Sus scrofa: one gene and its partner. The protein of the gene in region 1 binds, or shares a complex with, the protein of each later gene. Links are inferred from orthologs where the notes say so. Each region holds a gene or a part of one and is shown on either strand. Other genes may lie near its edges.

Region 1 (7,702 bases):
GCTGTCCAACCACTCACTAACTGTAGCTTGGCCTGTTTACCTCTAAACGGCTCTAAATTTTGCTCCTAATCCGAGGCAGTAACGGTTCCTGACCCTGGGAGTCACCGAGGTAATTAGATGCCACGGGATCAGATGGTGTGGCAGTGTACCCAAAAGAGGCATAGTTCATGGCTGCCACAGACAACACTCAGATGACACAGCTTCCAGAGAAAGCACAGTACAGGCTCAGGGCGACGTGGCCCTACCATGCCGCGCATATGTGGGCTTTCCACGTGTCCATGGTTGCTGCTGCTGCCTCAACTGCAGACAAATAAACAGAGGAGGAAGAATGAGGGGAAGGGAACTCCCCTGTTTTAAAAAAAATCTCCACCCAAGGAATTGGCAGCTGAACAAGTAAACTCCACTTTCAAGTATTTCCAAGAAGAGTTGGGCAAGGAGATAGTGCAATCAAGGGTTTGGCTCATACCTCACCTCTTGTTTCAAGTCTTTTTCAAACTTTACAGCATATAACGATCTTTCCCACTCAACAAACCATCCAGCACTTACTCGTTCTGCCCAGTGGCCCCCATCCTAGGTCAGCACACCAGCTCTGCTAAACCCTCCTCCACCTGGGTCACAAGGTCCCAGATTCCTAAGATTCCTTATCAGGAGAGGGGGCAAGGGACAATGGGCAGACATCCTAATTCTCCCCTTGGCAGCTGTAACCTGCAGCACATTACCCAGCGTGGATCTGTCTCTTCATTGATCTGTGGTCCAGCTCCTCCCTAGAAGGCAGGCTGGGGGCACGGAGCATTTTCTGCCCCATTCCCACCATGCCTGAGTTGGGGCCTTTATTTCCACATCTGTAAAATGGAGCCACCCAACACTTCACGTTGCTGTCACGAGGGTGATGTGAGATGAAGCACCATGACACTGACCCAGGGGCAGGTCTGCACTGGGCCTGACACCACTCTGCAAGCAGGTAAGCAAATGCCTGCTAGTGTGTGTTATCATTTCCATCATAAAATGGTACACATGAAAGCAAGAATTCTCATTCAACAAATTCTAGCCAGCTGTTTAAAGGCATCCCTGCCCCTCCCCACTTTATAGAAATTCAATTTTAATCCAAAGAAACGAGGCAGTTAATATTCACAAAAGAAATCACAATGGGTTTTCTTTAAATAGAAAACCTCCCTGGCACATTTTAAGGTATTGCATCAATCATAAAAATTGTATTTGCCAACTTTCCAGAAGCATTAGCTATTTAAAGGAGTCGTGCCTCTGACCACTGGAGAGGATTTGGGCTCCTCTGACGGACCCTCCCCCTAAGACCTGAGGTCACGTGTCCACTCAGAGCTCCTTCAAGGACCTTTGACAGCTCCTCCAGCTGCTGCGAGGAAACACAGCCCAGGAGGCAGGATCTTGCCGGCTCAGTGTGTCTGCCGTCCAAGGGACTTGAGGCTTGTCAAGGAGGACAGAGCTAGAGCAAAATGATTCCCCTGCTGCAACGAATGTTCCCCCAAACCTCCAAGCTTGAAAGTAAGAAGACACATACTTGTTTTTCAAAACCAGACCCAAAATAGTTTAGTTTTGTGTTCTGAAAGCAACACGTCACTACCCTCCAGCTCTCCATTTGCAACTTCCTAACATCTGACAGAGCAAAGACATCTGTTGAGACCTACAGGGAAAGAGGCAAACTTCAAAGACTGTACGAATCTTGTTCAGAATGGGGCTTTCTGCAGAACCTTATGCAAAGCATAACATAAGTGTAACAGAAGCACGTCACTGAGGGGTGTCAACTCTACCTCTCTGCCCCTGGGGCCTTTGATGCTACAACCCCCTCCACAGGCCTGGCTCTCCTGGGGCTGCAGGACAGACTCTCCCCTCAGCCACCTGGGAGGGAGCTCCATTCTGCTTCCCATTAGGTCCCCGCCCCACTGTTCATAGGAAGCACAGCAGGCTCAGCTGAACCTACCCAAGGCCAGGTTCAAGGTCACAGCCTCTCCCCTCTCCCCAATCCCCCAGGATTCATTAATAAATAACAAAGGCCAGTGGTTGGGCACCAGGAATGTTCTAAAGACAGTGCAGAGTGCTTTACAAGCGTTTCTAACTCAATGTCAATAGCAGCCCCAGGTGTCCCAGGTCACATGCCCCTGGTCTGCTAGGAAGCCTAGCAGCTTCTGCTTTGGTCTCAGGGATCTCAGGTTGCCAATGTTCCCTGGGCCCAGCCTCCACCCTGTGAAAAGCCCCTGGGAGATGCTTTGGGCCACAGTCCAGCTGAGCCCAGTGGGCAGCAGCAGTCGGCGCCACTCCAGATGGGAGTGAGCAGCAGGTGAAGACAGGAGCCCCAGATGACAGGAGCAGAGGCAGCCACGCCCTTCGAGCCCTGTCCAAAGTCCTGACCCATAGAATCTGCAAGTGACTAATAAAATGACAATGATAGGAACTGCGACACAATTCATTTATACACTATCCTCATGCTACACCTGGGGAGATGCAGGAAAGTACAGTCAGGAAAAGGCAAGGCTTCAAACCCAGGGGTGAGTCCAAAGACATGCTCGGTGCCACCCATGAAGCACTACTAGTCATCCGTCCTCTCCAGGACACTCTGCCCACTTCAGCAGTGTCTCCACCTGACCTGCTCAGACACAGGGCAGTGGTTCTCAATCTCAAGTGTGTATCAGAAGCCCCTGGAGGGTTTCTGGTTCTGGCCACCTAGGATGGGGCCTGAGAACTTGTGTTTCTAAAGAGTTTGCAGATCATGCTGCTGCTGCCTGTCCGGGAACCACACATTGAGAACTCAGGTACAGATCTTGGAGGGGTAAAGGGAATTTCACATGACGTGTCTGGAATGAGCTATCATCACACGACTGTCACACACACAGCTCATGCCAAAACACCCTATCCAGCCCACAGCTTTCTAGCGGCTCCCAGGGCAGCCATGGCTTGGCCTGGTCCTTTTTCACACCATCGCCTCTGTGATGTACAGACGTGGCGGAGGGCAGAGATATTCCTGATAGATGAGTGGGTGGCATACGCATTTGGGGTAAGAACACAGCTGAAAAGCTCTTTTGCTATGTGACAGCTTTCTGAAGCTCAGTTGCTAAGGGAGCCATAGGGAGAAATAAGTGTAGGAAAAAAGGTGGAAGAGTTGAGCACTGACCACATCTTGGACCTGACCCTGACAGAGTGAGGCTCATGAGGTTCTGCCTGCCTGTCCCATGAGACCCGTCCCCAGTCTTATCTGAGCATGAGAGGTAGCAAGTGCTCAGGAGCCAACCTTGAATGTCCCAGCAGCCTCAGTCTCCCAAGTCCAAGGCAGCTTCCAAAGCAACTGCAGCCTCCTGCCCCTGCCTCTGCACGTATCTCTCCCCATCCAGGGCGCGTTCCTCCAACCCTGCACATCCAAGGGTTTGGGGGTTTTCCCACTAGTTCAAGGACACTTGCTGCTGACTCAGTTTTAGAGAAAACGCTTATCTACTAAGTGAGTCATTTTGATTAAACCAGTAAAACAATACACAATATGAAAAAAAAATCTGGTCCAAAGTTCTCTTAAGTGTCTCTGTTTGAAAAATAACTGAAAGATACTAGCTATTATTTTACGGCTATTTCTGAATTTTATGAGTTAAAATTACTACTATTTATTAATCGCCAATAAGTGCTGGGACCGGTCCATACTTCTGCGTACTTTGTCCTTACAACCAGCCCCTTCAGGTGGGCATTACCACCCCCAGTCTACCCAGGAGGAGACTGAGGCTCAGAGGTACAGAGCAACTGGGCCAGTAGATGGTGGAGCCTGGGAGACTCAGACCCCCACTTCCCAATTCAGGCCTTGGTCATGAAGACCTACAGTTCCTTTCCTCAAACAACCCAGACCCCACTTACCTTTCCCCGTTCCCCTCTGACCACCCTGCCCGGCTGCCCACACCCAGGCCAGACCTTGCCAGGCTGGCCGCAGCCTTAGTTCCCGGGCCTTCTCCCCTAGCTGGGCTGGGGAAGGGGTTACTCTCCCCTCTACCCGATCCCAAATCCTGACAGCGCGTGGCGGGATTCAGTCTCTGCAGAGACCCGAGGACTGACGGGCAGTGGAGCTGGTTTCTGGGGTCCCAAACGCACCGGGACTAAAGCCAGCGCCGTGGGTCTTCCGGGCGAAGGTGAAACTGAGAACTGGGAGGCCCCACCACTGCTTCCTTCCCGGCTGCGAGCCGATTCCGGCTACGGGTCGATTCTGGCTACTGGCGGGGCTCTCCTCCTCGGCCACCCGCCACAGCTCGATTTGTTTACACGGGCAGGGCTGCTCCCCAAGCGAGTCGCCGGCCCGCACCTGGCGGTGGCAACAGCCAAAAGCTTCTCGGTGCTATCTCCCGCCGGGACGGGAGCAGGAAGTCCGGCTCCGGGGTCCCCGCGCCCTCCACCCCCGCTCGGCGCAGGCGTCTCACTGCCTCCCGCGGGCGCGCACGGCATGGGGCGCCGGGACCCCGTTCAACGTGGGGGGTGCCGGCCGGGTGGCAGGGGAGTGGGCCGGGCTGGGCCGGTGGGTGGGGGCGGGGTGACGGCGCCGCACGCCCGAACGCTGAGGAGGGGGCGAGTGCGGCAGCCGTCGCCGAGCTCGGGCGCCAGGGTCCCCGAGCCCACTCACCGGACACATTTAACTGGCCTCCCAGGAACCAGCCGATCTTGCCGCTGCGGAAGTCGCAGTCGCTCACCGTGTGGTAGGGGGTGTCCCACACGAGCACGTCCTTCGCCAGCGGCCCCCAGAAGGCGGCCGGCTCGCGCGCGGCCAGCGCGATCCGCTCCTGATAAGAGCCGGGCGGCGCGGCGGGGGCGCTGCTCCAGAGACGGGGGACCCCGGGGCCCCGAGCCCCCACCCCGCGAAGGCCGCCCAGGAGCCGCCCGACGCCGCAGCCCAAGCAACGGGCAGCCATCGCGCCTCAGAGCCCCTCGCGGCTGTGGCGACCCAGCCCTCGCGCGCCCGCGCCCCGCTTCGGCCCCGCCCCGCCTCCCGCCCCGCCCCGCCCCCCGCCCCTCCTGTCTGAAGCTGCCTCCCGACACTCCCCGCCCCCGCTCCGCCTCTGACCACCGCCCCCCCCTCCGCCCTGCCCTGTCCCACCCCTCTTCACCCCACGCAGAGCTGGGCTGCGAAGGGAGGTGGAGCCCCTGTGGAAGTGGAGTTGGGAGCGCGGCGGCGGAGGGGGTCCCCTGCCGGGCTGCCGGGGTTTCAGTTGATGCGTCCCCGACGAGTTCCGACGGCTGCGCCGTTTTGTCAACCGCAGATCTGCGCGGGCAATGCAGGCTCTCCTGGGAGCTGGAAACCGTCGCGGGTGGGAGGGAGCCGGCACAGATGTTAGTGACCCGCGGAGCGAGGCGCACAAGTTGCTCCAAGGACCACTCGTCAGGTTTGGTCGGTTCAGCATCTCAGAGGCTGAGAGCAAAGTGTTCATCCCTTTGTGGGGCCTCGAGATTGAATGCTTGAGCGGCCTGGGTGGCCTGTACGCCTTCCCCCAAAACATACACAAGTAGTCCCCGTGGGCTAAGTGGGCTGGTCAGGGGTCCTCGGACCAGGAGACTGTAAGACCTTGGGTCTGGGATCTGGTGCTTTTATACAGCAGAGAAGCAAACATTCCACCAGCCATGATTGATTTGGAACCGTGGGAGTTCTCAAGCGCAGCTCCAGCATCTGTGGCCTGAGGTCAAAATCTGAAGTTTCTAGCTCTGTATCCCGGGACCAGTTCCTTAACCCCTCTGTGCCTACACCGACTCCACTACTGAGTTCCCTGGTTACCCCTTCCAGGCTGCACATTTCAGACGCCGACTCGTTTATTCTTTAAGCAGCCCTGGGGAGGTAAACAAAAGTAATGTCTCCCTGGGGGGAGGAGGGTCTCCCAGGGGACCCAGTAGTGAAGGCTGTGTTCCTGTTGTCAAGCTGGGAAAGATAGTGGGAAACCCACAGAAACTTGTGGCAACTAGACTCTTAAATATTACAACAAGCACACAAAGTAAACATGTAATGTAAACAGAAGGGAGAGGGGATTTTTGAAAACTGGTTGGTCGAGTGCTTTGGGTTTAGCATAGATCCCTTCCTGTTAGCAGTAGGAGGTATTTGTGCTGTCAGTCAGCCCCAGCACGTGTGCCTGTGTGCCTGTGTGTGTGTGTGTGTGTGTGTGTGCTCACCCTCCTGCTACTGCTTTTTAAGGCTGGGAAACCAGTGATAACAGCTAGCACTAGACATGGGTCCTGCTCTGTGCTGAGCATTTACTTGCAATTTTTACTTAATTTAAAAATTATCTGGTTCTGGACTTTCCGTGTGGCTCACGACATAACTATTCAGCATTGCTTCTACAGTGGCTGTGGCTCAACCCCTGGCTCAGGAACTTCCATATGCCACAGGTGCTTTAAAAAAAAAATTATCTAGTGCTATCAAGTGCTGCCAACTCTCAACTCTCAAGTGGAACAAGGGACTCACTGAGCAGAGAGAAATAAACAGAATTGCTAAAAAGCACGTGGTGCCAGCACACCCACTCCCACCTCAATATCCCCCTCACTTGGCCTAAATCATCATTTTAAATAGATTAAGTAAATTGCAACAGAGAAAGACCTTAACTGTGGCCCAGGGGTGGGGGGAGTTGTCCCCAAAGATGGCCGCTAACACTTCACTCCCTGATGTAAGAGGCTCCCCTACAAGAAGAGTCTGTGTCCCCCACAAGTGGGCAAGCACTGCCATTCCCACTGTCCCAGGTCCAGACCCCACAAGATCACAGCTGCAGCCCCTGTGCTCTTGGAACCCAGCCCCATGCTGGAAGTGTCGAGCCTTCTGGAGGAAGAGATTCTTGGAGAGAACAATGGAAAAAGTACATAGAACTGACAATACTTTAAAATAAAGGAGCACAAAGCTGGCATTTCCTTCAAGTTGGATAAAGAGAGGTGATTGTGTGTTCAGAAAACTGCGGAACCATCCAAGTGGCACAGAATTGCACTTCCTAAAGCCCAAGCTACCCAAGCTGAGGCCACTGAAGCCAAGGCCACCAGCTGCCTCCTAGAAGCCACCTTCTGGGAACTACAGCAGGTGGAGCCACACTGCACCACGCGTTTGGCCACGACCATGGCCAGAGAGCTGCTTCCCACCGGTCCTCCCGTTCTGAGGGAGCTGCTGCTGGCCAGGCAGTGCTGGTCATGGATGCCTGTGCCTCTAAGATGGGCAGGGTCTTCAGTGTGTGCAGAAAGCTGGACCTCAGCAGGTGCCGAAGTAGGAAGCCTGGGAGAGTTTCTGCCGGAGCTGGGCTTCCTTTGTACCTCAAGCCTGATGTTCAAGTTGGAAACAGTGATCCTCACAACCCTGGGAGAAGGATACTCTGGTCCTCATTGTACAAAGGGAAAAAACAGGAGATACTCCCACCCAAGGCCACACAGCCGGAAGGGGCCTCCAGCGCTCACAGCTTTAACAGTTTAGGGCATTGCCCTTCCTAGGCCCTCCCTCCCACAGTGCTGGGAGCTGCAGCCCTGGACCCCTCTAAGAAGCAGCTTTGTGGGTATCATCCCCAAGACCCACCAGTCCCCCCAGGCAGGCCCGCACTGAGTTGCCAGACGTCCTTGCTTCTCTGCCCTGCTGCCCTCACTCTCCCACCGACCCTCAGTGACAGGGTGTCTGTGGAGCCCCTCCTGTGTGCATGGCCCTGTGTGGAGGCTGTCAGCTCAACAAGGATGAACCAAACACAGCCCTGAGCCC
Region 2 (7,142 bases), on another chromosome or scaffold:
ACAGGAACTCCCTGTTATGTTTAAGTTTTTAAAGAGACAGGTTTGAAATATCTATTGGAGATAGAAAGCCATATAAAATAATGTAGTGGGTTTGAAAAAGAACCTGATAAGGAGTTCCTGTCATGGCACAGAGGAAACAAATCCGACTACGAACCATGAGGTTGCGGGTTCAATCCCTGGCCTCCCCCAGTGGGTTAAGGATCCAGCATTGCCGTGAGCTGTGGTGTGGGTCACAGACACAGCTTGGATCCTGTGTTGCTATGGCTGTGGGGTAGACCAGCAGCTGTAGCTCCGACTGGACCCCTAGCCTGGGACCCTCCATATGCCATGGGTGCGGCCCTAAAAAACGAAAAGAAAAGAAAAGAAAAGAAAAGAAAAGAAAAGAAAAGAAAAGAAAAGAAAAGAAAAGAAAAGAAAAAAGAAAAAGAACCTGATAGGACTTCCAGTAATAAAAAGTAGAATACTGAAAATTAAAGCTTAGTGAAGGGCTTCATCCTCTATGACAGAATGGAATATTGATAAACTGGAAAGTAGATCAGGAGAAAGACTCAGAATGCAGCACAAAGGGGAGCAAGGTGGGACAAAGAGAAGCGTGGCCAAGGGCTGTGGGCAGAGTGTGAGATGTTCTCAGAGATGTTTAACCCGAGGTCCACAGAGGACCGGAGGTGGGTGGAGCATTCACTGTCTGAAGGCATCATGACTGAGAATTTTTAGCAAACATGAAACATCAAACCACAGATTCAGAAAGCTCTACAAATCTAAAGCAGAATAAATAAAAGGAAATCCATATGGAGACACGCCACATTAAAAGTGCAAAACTCCCAAGACAAAGAGAAAAAAAATTTTAATTTGTAGACAATAGATAGCAACAGACTTAATCTCAAGTTTATATGGAGAGCAAAAGACTCAGAATGGACAACACAATACGGAAGGAGACGATCCAAGAAAGAAAAATACAGTAAGTCAAACTCCATTAAAAGTAAAAGACAATGTCAAGAGGATGAGATAACAAGTCACAGACTGGGAGAAAATATTTACGAAAGATGTATCTGATAAAGGACTATTATCCAAAATACACAAAGAATTTTTTTTAGCCCACATCCTTGGCATATGGAAGTTCCCACCTGGGCCACAGCAGTGACAATGCTGGATCCTTAACCTGCTAGGCTTCCAGGAAATTCCACAAAGAACTCTTAAAACTCAACAATAAGGAGTTCCCGTCATGGCGCAGTGATTAACGAATCCGACTAGGAACCACGAAGTTGCAGGTTTGGTCCCTGGCCTTGCTCAGTGGGTTAAAGATCCGGTGTTGCCCTGAGCTGTGGTGCAGGTCGCAGACACGGCTCAGATCCCGCGTTGCTGTGGCTCTGGCTAGGCTGGTGGCTACAGCTCCGATTAGACCCTTAGCCTGGGAACCTCCATGTGCCGCGGGAGAGGCCCAAGAAATGGCAAAAAGACAAAAACAAAAACAAAAACAAAAAACAAAAAAAAAAACAAAAAAAAAAACTCAACAATAAGAAAATGAACAACCCAGTTAAAAAATTGGCCCAAGACCTCACTAAAGAAGATATACAGATGGCAAATGAGCATATGAAGCAAGTTCACCATCATGTATCATTAGGAAACTGCAAATTAAAACAACGAGATACCAGTACACACCTACTAGAATGGCCAAAATCAGAACGCTGACAGCACCACGTGTTGATGAGGATGTGGAGAACGAGGACTCACATTCCCTGCTGGTGGGAATGCAAAACGGGGCAGCCACTTTGGAAGACACAAACATAAGCATACTCTTACCCTGCGATCCAGCAATCATGCACCTTGGCATTGACCCCAAGCAGCCAAAAACTCAGGTCCACATACAAACCCGCATATGGATGTTTAGAGCAACGTCATTCTAACGGCCAAAGCTTGGAAGCGATCAAGAGCTCCCTCAGTAGGTGAAGGGACAAACAAACGGTTCCATCTAGACAACAGACTATCACTCACCCTTCAAAATAAAAGCGCTATCGGGCCATGAAAAGACACGGAGGGGCCTTAAATACACGATGCTAAGTCAGAGAAGCCAATGAGCAAAAGGCAGCACACTGTATGATTCCAACTCTACGACATTCTGGAAGGGCAAAAGTATGGAGAAAGTAAAAAGATCAGGGGTTACCAGGGGTTGGGGCAGGAAGGGGAGATGACTGACTGACTAGTGGGTGCGGTGTTTTCCTTTGAGGTGATGAAAATACTTTGGAATTAGAGGTGGTGGTTGCACAACTCTGAACATATTAAGTACCAATGAACTGTACACTTTAAAAATGTTAACTTCAGGCAGTTCCTATTGTGGCTCCATGGGTTAAGAACCCGACTAGTATCCAGGAGGATGCAGGTTCGATTCCTGGCCTTGCTCAGTAGATTAAGGATCTGGTCTGGTGTTGCCGAGAGCTGCAGCATAGGTCACAGATGTGGCTTGGATCTGGAGCTGGAGCCGCAGCTCCAACTGAACCCCTAGCCTGGGATCTTCCATGTGCCACAGGTGTGGCCCTAAAAAAAAAAGGTTAATTTTATGTTATGTGATTTTCACTTCAATAAAAAAATAAAACACAGGATCCTGCGCCACATCGATATTTCAGAGTTTCAACTTGCTTTAGGATTTTCCATTCTATCCTACTCGACTTTAGAAAACTTGTTCTACTCACAAACACTCACAGAGGTACACAGGGACGTAAGCCTGGACTATCACTGGCTTCTGGCTTGTTCAATGGCTGCACCCAGAGCATGCGGAGATTCCTAAGCCAGGGACTGAATCCAAGCCATAGCTGCGGCAACACTGGATCCTTTAGCCCACTGTGCTGGGCAGGGGATAAAATCCATGCCTCCACAGCAACCTAAGCGGCTGCAGTTGGATTCTTAACCCACTGCACCACAGCAGGAACTCCTACTATATTATTTTTAATAGTAAAAATCACAAATATCATGAATATCCCCAAACAGGTAAAGGACTAAATTAAATGCTCTCTAGTGACCAAGAACCGTAAGCAGAGCTGCAGTTACTGGCACAAGATAGTCATGAAACTGCTCTGCAACAAAGCAAACTGTACAATATTAATCCTGATGATCCCATTACTGAAAAAAAATGTAATTGTATGTGGGTGTGGGTGTAGGTGCACAGAAATTTGCATGTGTGCTACTATACACACATATGTTTCTGTTTTTCAGGCCTGGATCACAACACAGCACACGGCCAAAAGCTGACTACGGGAACTAGTTGAAGGGAGGTTCATTTTTCCCTACACATTTCTGTACTGCCTTAATTTTTTTCCCATCTGCAAAGATCCTATTGCCCAGTCAGGTTATATTTATAGGTACCAGGAGTTAGGACCTGAGCATTTTTCAAAATTGATTTACAACATTGTGGGTTTGTTTTTTTTTTTCTTGGTCTTTCGTCTTTTTACAGCCGCACCCATGGCATATGGAGGTTCCCAGGCTAGGGGTTGAATCGGAGCTATAGCTGCTGGCCTACACCACTGCCACAGCAACATGGGATCCGAGCCGTGTCTGCGACCTACCACAGCTCACGGCAACACCAGATCCTTAACCCACTCAGCAAGGCCAGGAATCAAACCTTTGTCCTCATGGATGCTAGTCAGATTCATTTCTGCTAAGCCATGACGGGAACTCCCAACATTGTGTTAGTTTCAGGTATAGAGCAAAGTGATTCGGTTCTACATACGTGTGTGTGTGTGTGTGGTGTGTGTGTGTGGTGTGTGTGTGTATCCTTTTTTGGATCCTCTTGCACTATAAGCTATTACAAGATATCGAATACAGTTCTCGGTGCTATACAGTTATTGTTTACATTGCCTTAATTTTTTATAAACACATGTTACTTTTCTAATGCAAAAGCACAGAAAAATATTTTCACGGTATTACTGTTCTGTTGTCCTTCTGACATGATGCTTATAAACTACTTCCCCATATTACTCGCAATGAGAAGTGCGGAAGGGAGAGAACCGTCAGTGTCACAACTCACCCAGAAGTCCTCCCCTGGGAAGGGTCTTCGGCAAACGGTGCAGGTGGCAGAGGCAAAGGATCCATGAGCTTCAACCAGCTTTGAGGCAGGGATGCCAGACGCTGGAATCCAAACCAAAGCTAAGTGCTGCTGCCTCTGGGGTGGGCGCACAAGCCCCTTAGCATAACCTCTGGGCTCAGGAGGCCCCCCAGGAGGAGTCAGCCCTCAGGGGAAGCCTGATGTCCCTGGCTCTATCACCTACAGATGACACCCCACTGATCAGAACGAGCACAGGGATGAGGCTCTGATGTGAAGCCAAAGCAGAGTTAAAACAAAGCCTGTGAAAACAGTACACAAACAGGTGAAGTTTTACATCCAACACCAATGAGACCGTTTTCAACTCTACAGACACCAGTAAACGTGAGAAAATAATATAGACTTCCAAAAACTGTGGAAAAACAGACAGGAGGTAACATACCAGGAACGTTATGTAACCACTAGCAGCTTCTGAAAGGCCGCGGGTCCTGGCTGCAGCGGTTTCCCGCCGACCCCGTAACTCTGCGTATGACAAAGCTCAAAGCCAGATTTCCCGCAAGGCCAGCCCTGCTGCGTTCCTGGGGGGGAGTCACTGCTGCCTACGTGGCTCCAAGCTGTAGAGTCTTTCAAGCAAATAAACTTTCCTGAGGTCAGGAAAACCCCTTTCTTCAAATCACAAGACATCTGCAGCCCGATGAGCTGCTGCTAACTTGCTCAGAGCTGACTGTTAGCACCAGTCAGTATCACTGCATGCATGAAAAAGGCCCAACAACGGCCTCTCTGGGGTACACGGCCAGGCCAGAGGTCGGTACGACCCATGAATCACTGGTTGTGGCTGCCTTCCAGTCCAGAAATCAGCGCACACCATGTTTGATGATATTAAGCAGTTATGAGTGATTTCTTTGTGTGATAACAATATTGTGGTTGTGTTTTAAAGGCCTTTATCTTCAGCAAAAATATCAATTGCTGAATTTATAGATTAAGTTTATAAAGGGAGGGGCGTGCTTCAAAACAGTCAGGGGTGAGAGAGGAGGAGGGTCAGGCACAGACTGTACGAAGACTGGCCGTGATGAGGTGAGAAGGTGCGGTGATGAGGACATGAGGGTTCGTCACATTCTTCTCTGTATTTTACTTGCGCAAACGTTTCCATAATGAAAATTTAGAAAAATACATCATCGGATCAGATCAGCAAAACTAGAAGCTCCCACTGTGACCTTCAGTTCCATCCAAAGATCAAAGCTCAGAAAGTGGGTCCACCAATGAGGTTCCAACAGTGACACTTAAAACAGCAAGGACATTTCTCTTGGGGATAAAGGCACAACTTTTTTGGCTCAAAATCAGCCACAAGGATGGAGAATAAACACGAGGCCTCAGCCCTCCTAGAAATGGGCCCCTGAGCCCTCCTGCAGGAGCAGAGGGTGTGGGACAAAGGGAGGCCTCACCTCTCTCAAGCCCGTCGATGTTCTGGGTGTAGAGCCGCAGGAGCAGCCCCTTGTCATGCAGCAGGCGGAGGAAGTAGTGAGCAGTGTTAGGCCTATAGTTCCCAGGGTACAGCTCCTTGGCGAAAGTGAAAAACGGCTTGGGATTGTGGAAGAAAAATGAGAGCTCAAAAATGGCCTCGGGGTAGGGGAGGTCGTAGCTTTGGAGGGTGCTGTAGTAGCCAGTCCCTGGAGATCTGCAGAGAGAAGTGAAAGGCGCTGAGCCCTTCAGGAGAGAACAGGGAGGTGGAGCAAGCCATGGGCAGCTGGGGGGCCAGGCGGGGGCACAGGGATGCTTGGGCACCTGAAGTCTGGAATGCCGCTGGGCGTGCTGATGCCGGCCCCTACCATGACCACCACCCGCCGGCAGGCTCTGGTTTTAATCAGTTCAGCTATGTCCTGCAGGAGAAGCTGCTTCTTACTGTTGCCTCCACTTCCACAGACACCTGAGGCACCGGGAGAAAAAGATATGGACCTTCTTCCACCTGTAATACTGACAGAAAAAGGAGAGTGGCCAGGTAACCAATGATAATCAAGCTCACACTAGCAAGAATGAGCAGACCCACCTCCCCACCCGCAGCACTGAGAATGACCACACACTTCCCTGCTGCCCCCAAAAGACCACCTTCCATATCATGGGATAAAACAGAAACTCCCAAATCAAGATGAATTGGGGAGCAAAGTTTTCAGGTTAATGGGAACTGTGCAAATAATTTCACAATTCTCGTTATCAAAGGCTCGTGCTAAAGGCTTAGGCTAGAGCCAGGAGCATCCCTTTGTGAGGGCCCTGGGGACAGGCTCTGCAGAGCCATACCCCCTAACATACCTGGAATATGACAAAGACTTAGTGACATTTAAAGGGAGTTAAAAGTCTCAGACTTTACACCAAAAATATTATCAGGATGAAAAGCGGATTCAAGAGATCATTCCAGAAAGAAAGATTCATATCCTGACAGCGAGGGATTCAAACTGCTGCAGAGACCTCATCTTCCACACTCACAGCCATTCAGGATGCTGCTCATATTACACAGCAGCCAAACAAATCACACATCCCAGGCAAGGCAGTGGGCAGACCGCAGCTCTCGGTCTCTCGCAAAATTCTAGGCTTTTCAGGTCACCTCCAGAAGCAAGGAGCTGAGACACTTCACAAGGTTAACTGTTAGGAGCATGAGATGCTCTTCCACAAGAAAAAAAGAGCAAGGTACACGGTACCCAACTCATAGGCTTCAGGGAGGCATCAGGGCTCAAGGCTCAGGAAAGTACCAGGAAGAGGGCAGAGACAAACAGCACAGAGCCTGGAGCAGTACCTGAAGACCTGCACGGGGGCCCGAGAGCTAGAGCCTCGCGTGGGCCAAAAGGCCTTCTAGGTGTTTGATCGGCTCTTGGGGCCCTCGCTCGGCAACCAGCTGAGCTGGACAAGTTCTTCAGGTCCTGGAACCACGCTGGCAACTTGCCCAGAGTTCACGACACCAACCCCACTGCACAGGGCACCTTCCTCATACCCCAAAGACCGGCAGCCACCACATCTACCTTTCAGGAGACCCATCTCCAGGACATCAGACCTCAGTATGAACCCCTGAACCCTGACAGGAAAAGAGATTAAACCAGCTGAACTGACACTCTCCCCAACT

What was found. The genes of interacting proteins can lie anywhere in the genome.
Region 2: the proteins of ACSS1 (region 1) and SIRT3 are in contact, whole or in part, in a crystal structure (PDB 3GLT), measured with the Homo sapiens proteins. The link is inferred for Sus scrofa from reciprocal best matches to the Homo sapiens genes ACSS1 and SIRT3. Residues at the interface, in NP_115890.2 of Homo sapiens: Ser640, Gly641, Lys642, Val643, Met644, Arg645; in NP_036371.1 of Homo sapiens: Gly145, Ala146, Gly147, Thr150, Pro151, Asp156, Phe157, Arg158, Ser159, Glu177, Phe180, Gln228, Asn229, Ile230, His248, Ile291, Val292, Phe293, Phe294, Gly295, Glu296, Pro297, Leu298, Gly319, Thr320, Ser321, Leu322, Glu323, Val324, Glu325.

The regions. Positions count from the first base shown.
Region 1 is NC_010459.5:30,834,812-30,842,513, forward strand, and holds the start of ACSS1 (acetyl-coenzyme A synthetase 2-like, mitochondrial), read right to left. Parts: upstream 4,951-7,702; 5' UTR 4,905-4,950; coding exon 4,619-4,904; intron 1-4,618. UniProt on the Homo sapiens protein: Catalyzes the synthesis of acetyl-CoA from short-chain fatty acids. Acetate is the preferred substrate. Can also utilize propionate with a much lower affinity. Provides acetyl-CoA that is utilized mainly for oxidation under ketogenic conditions.
Region 2 is NC_010444.4:43,433-50,574, forward strand, and holds part of SIRT3 (NAD-dependent protein deacetylase sirtuin-3, mitochondrial), read right to left. Parts: intron 6,005-7,142; coding exon of another isoform or gene 5,863-6,004; coding exon 5,816-5,862; intron 5,709-5,815; coding exon 5,476-5,708; intron 4,120-5,475; coding exon 4,019-4,119; intron 1-4,018.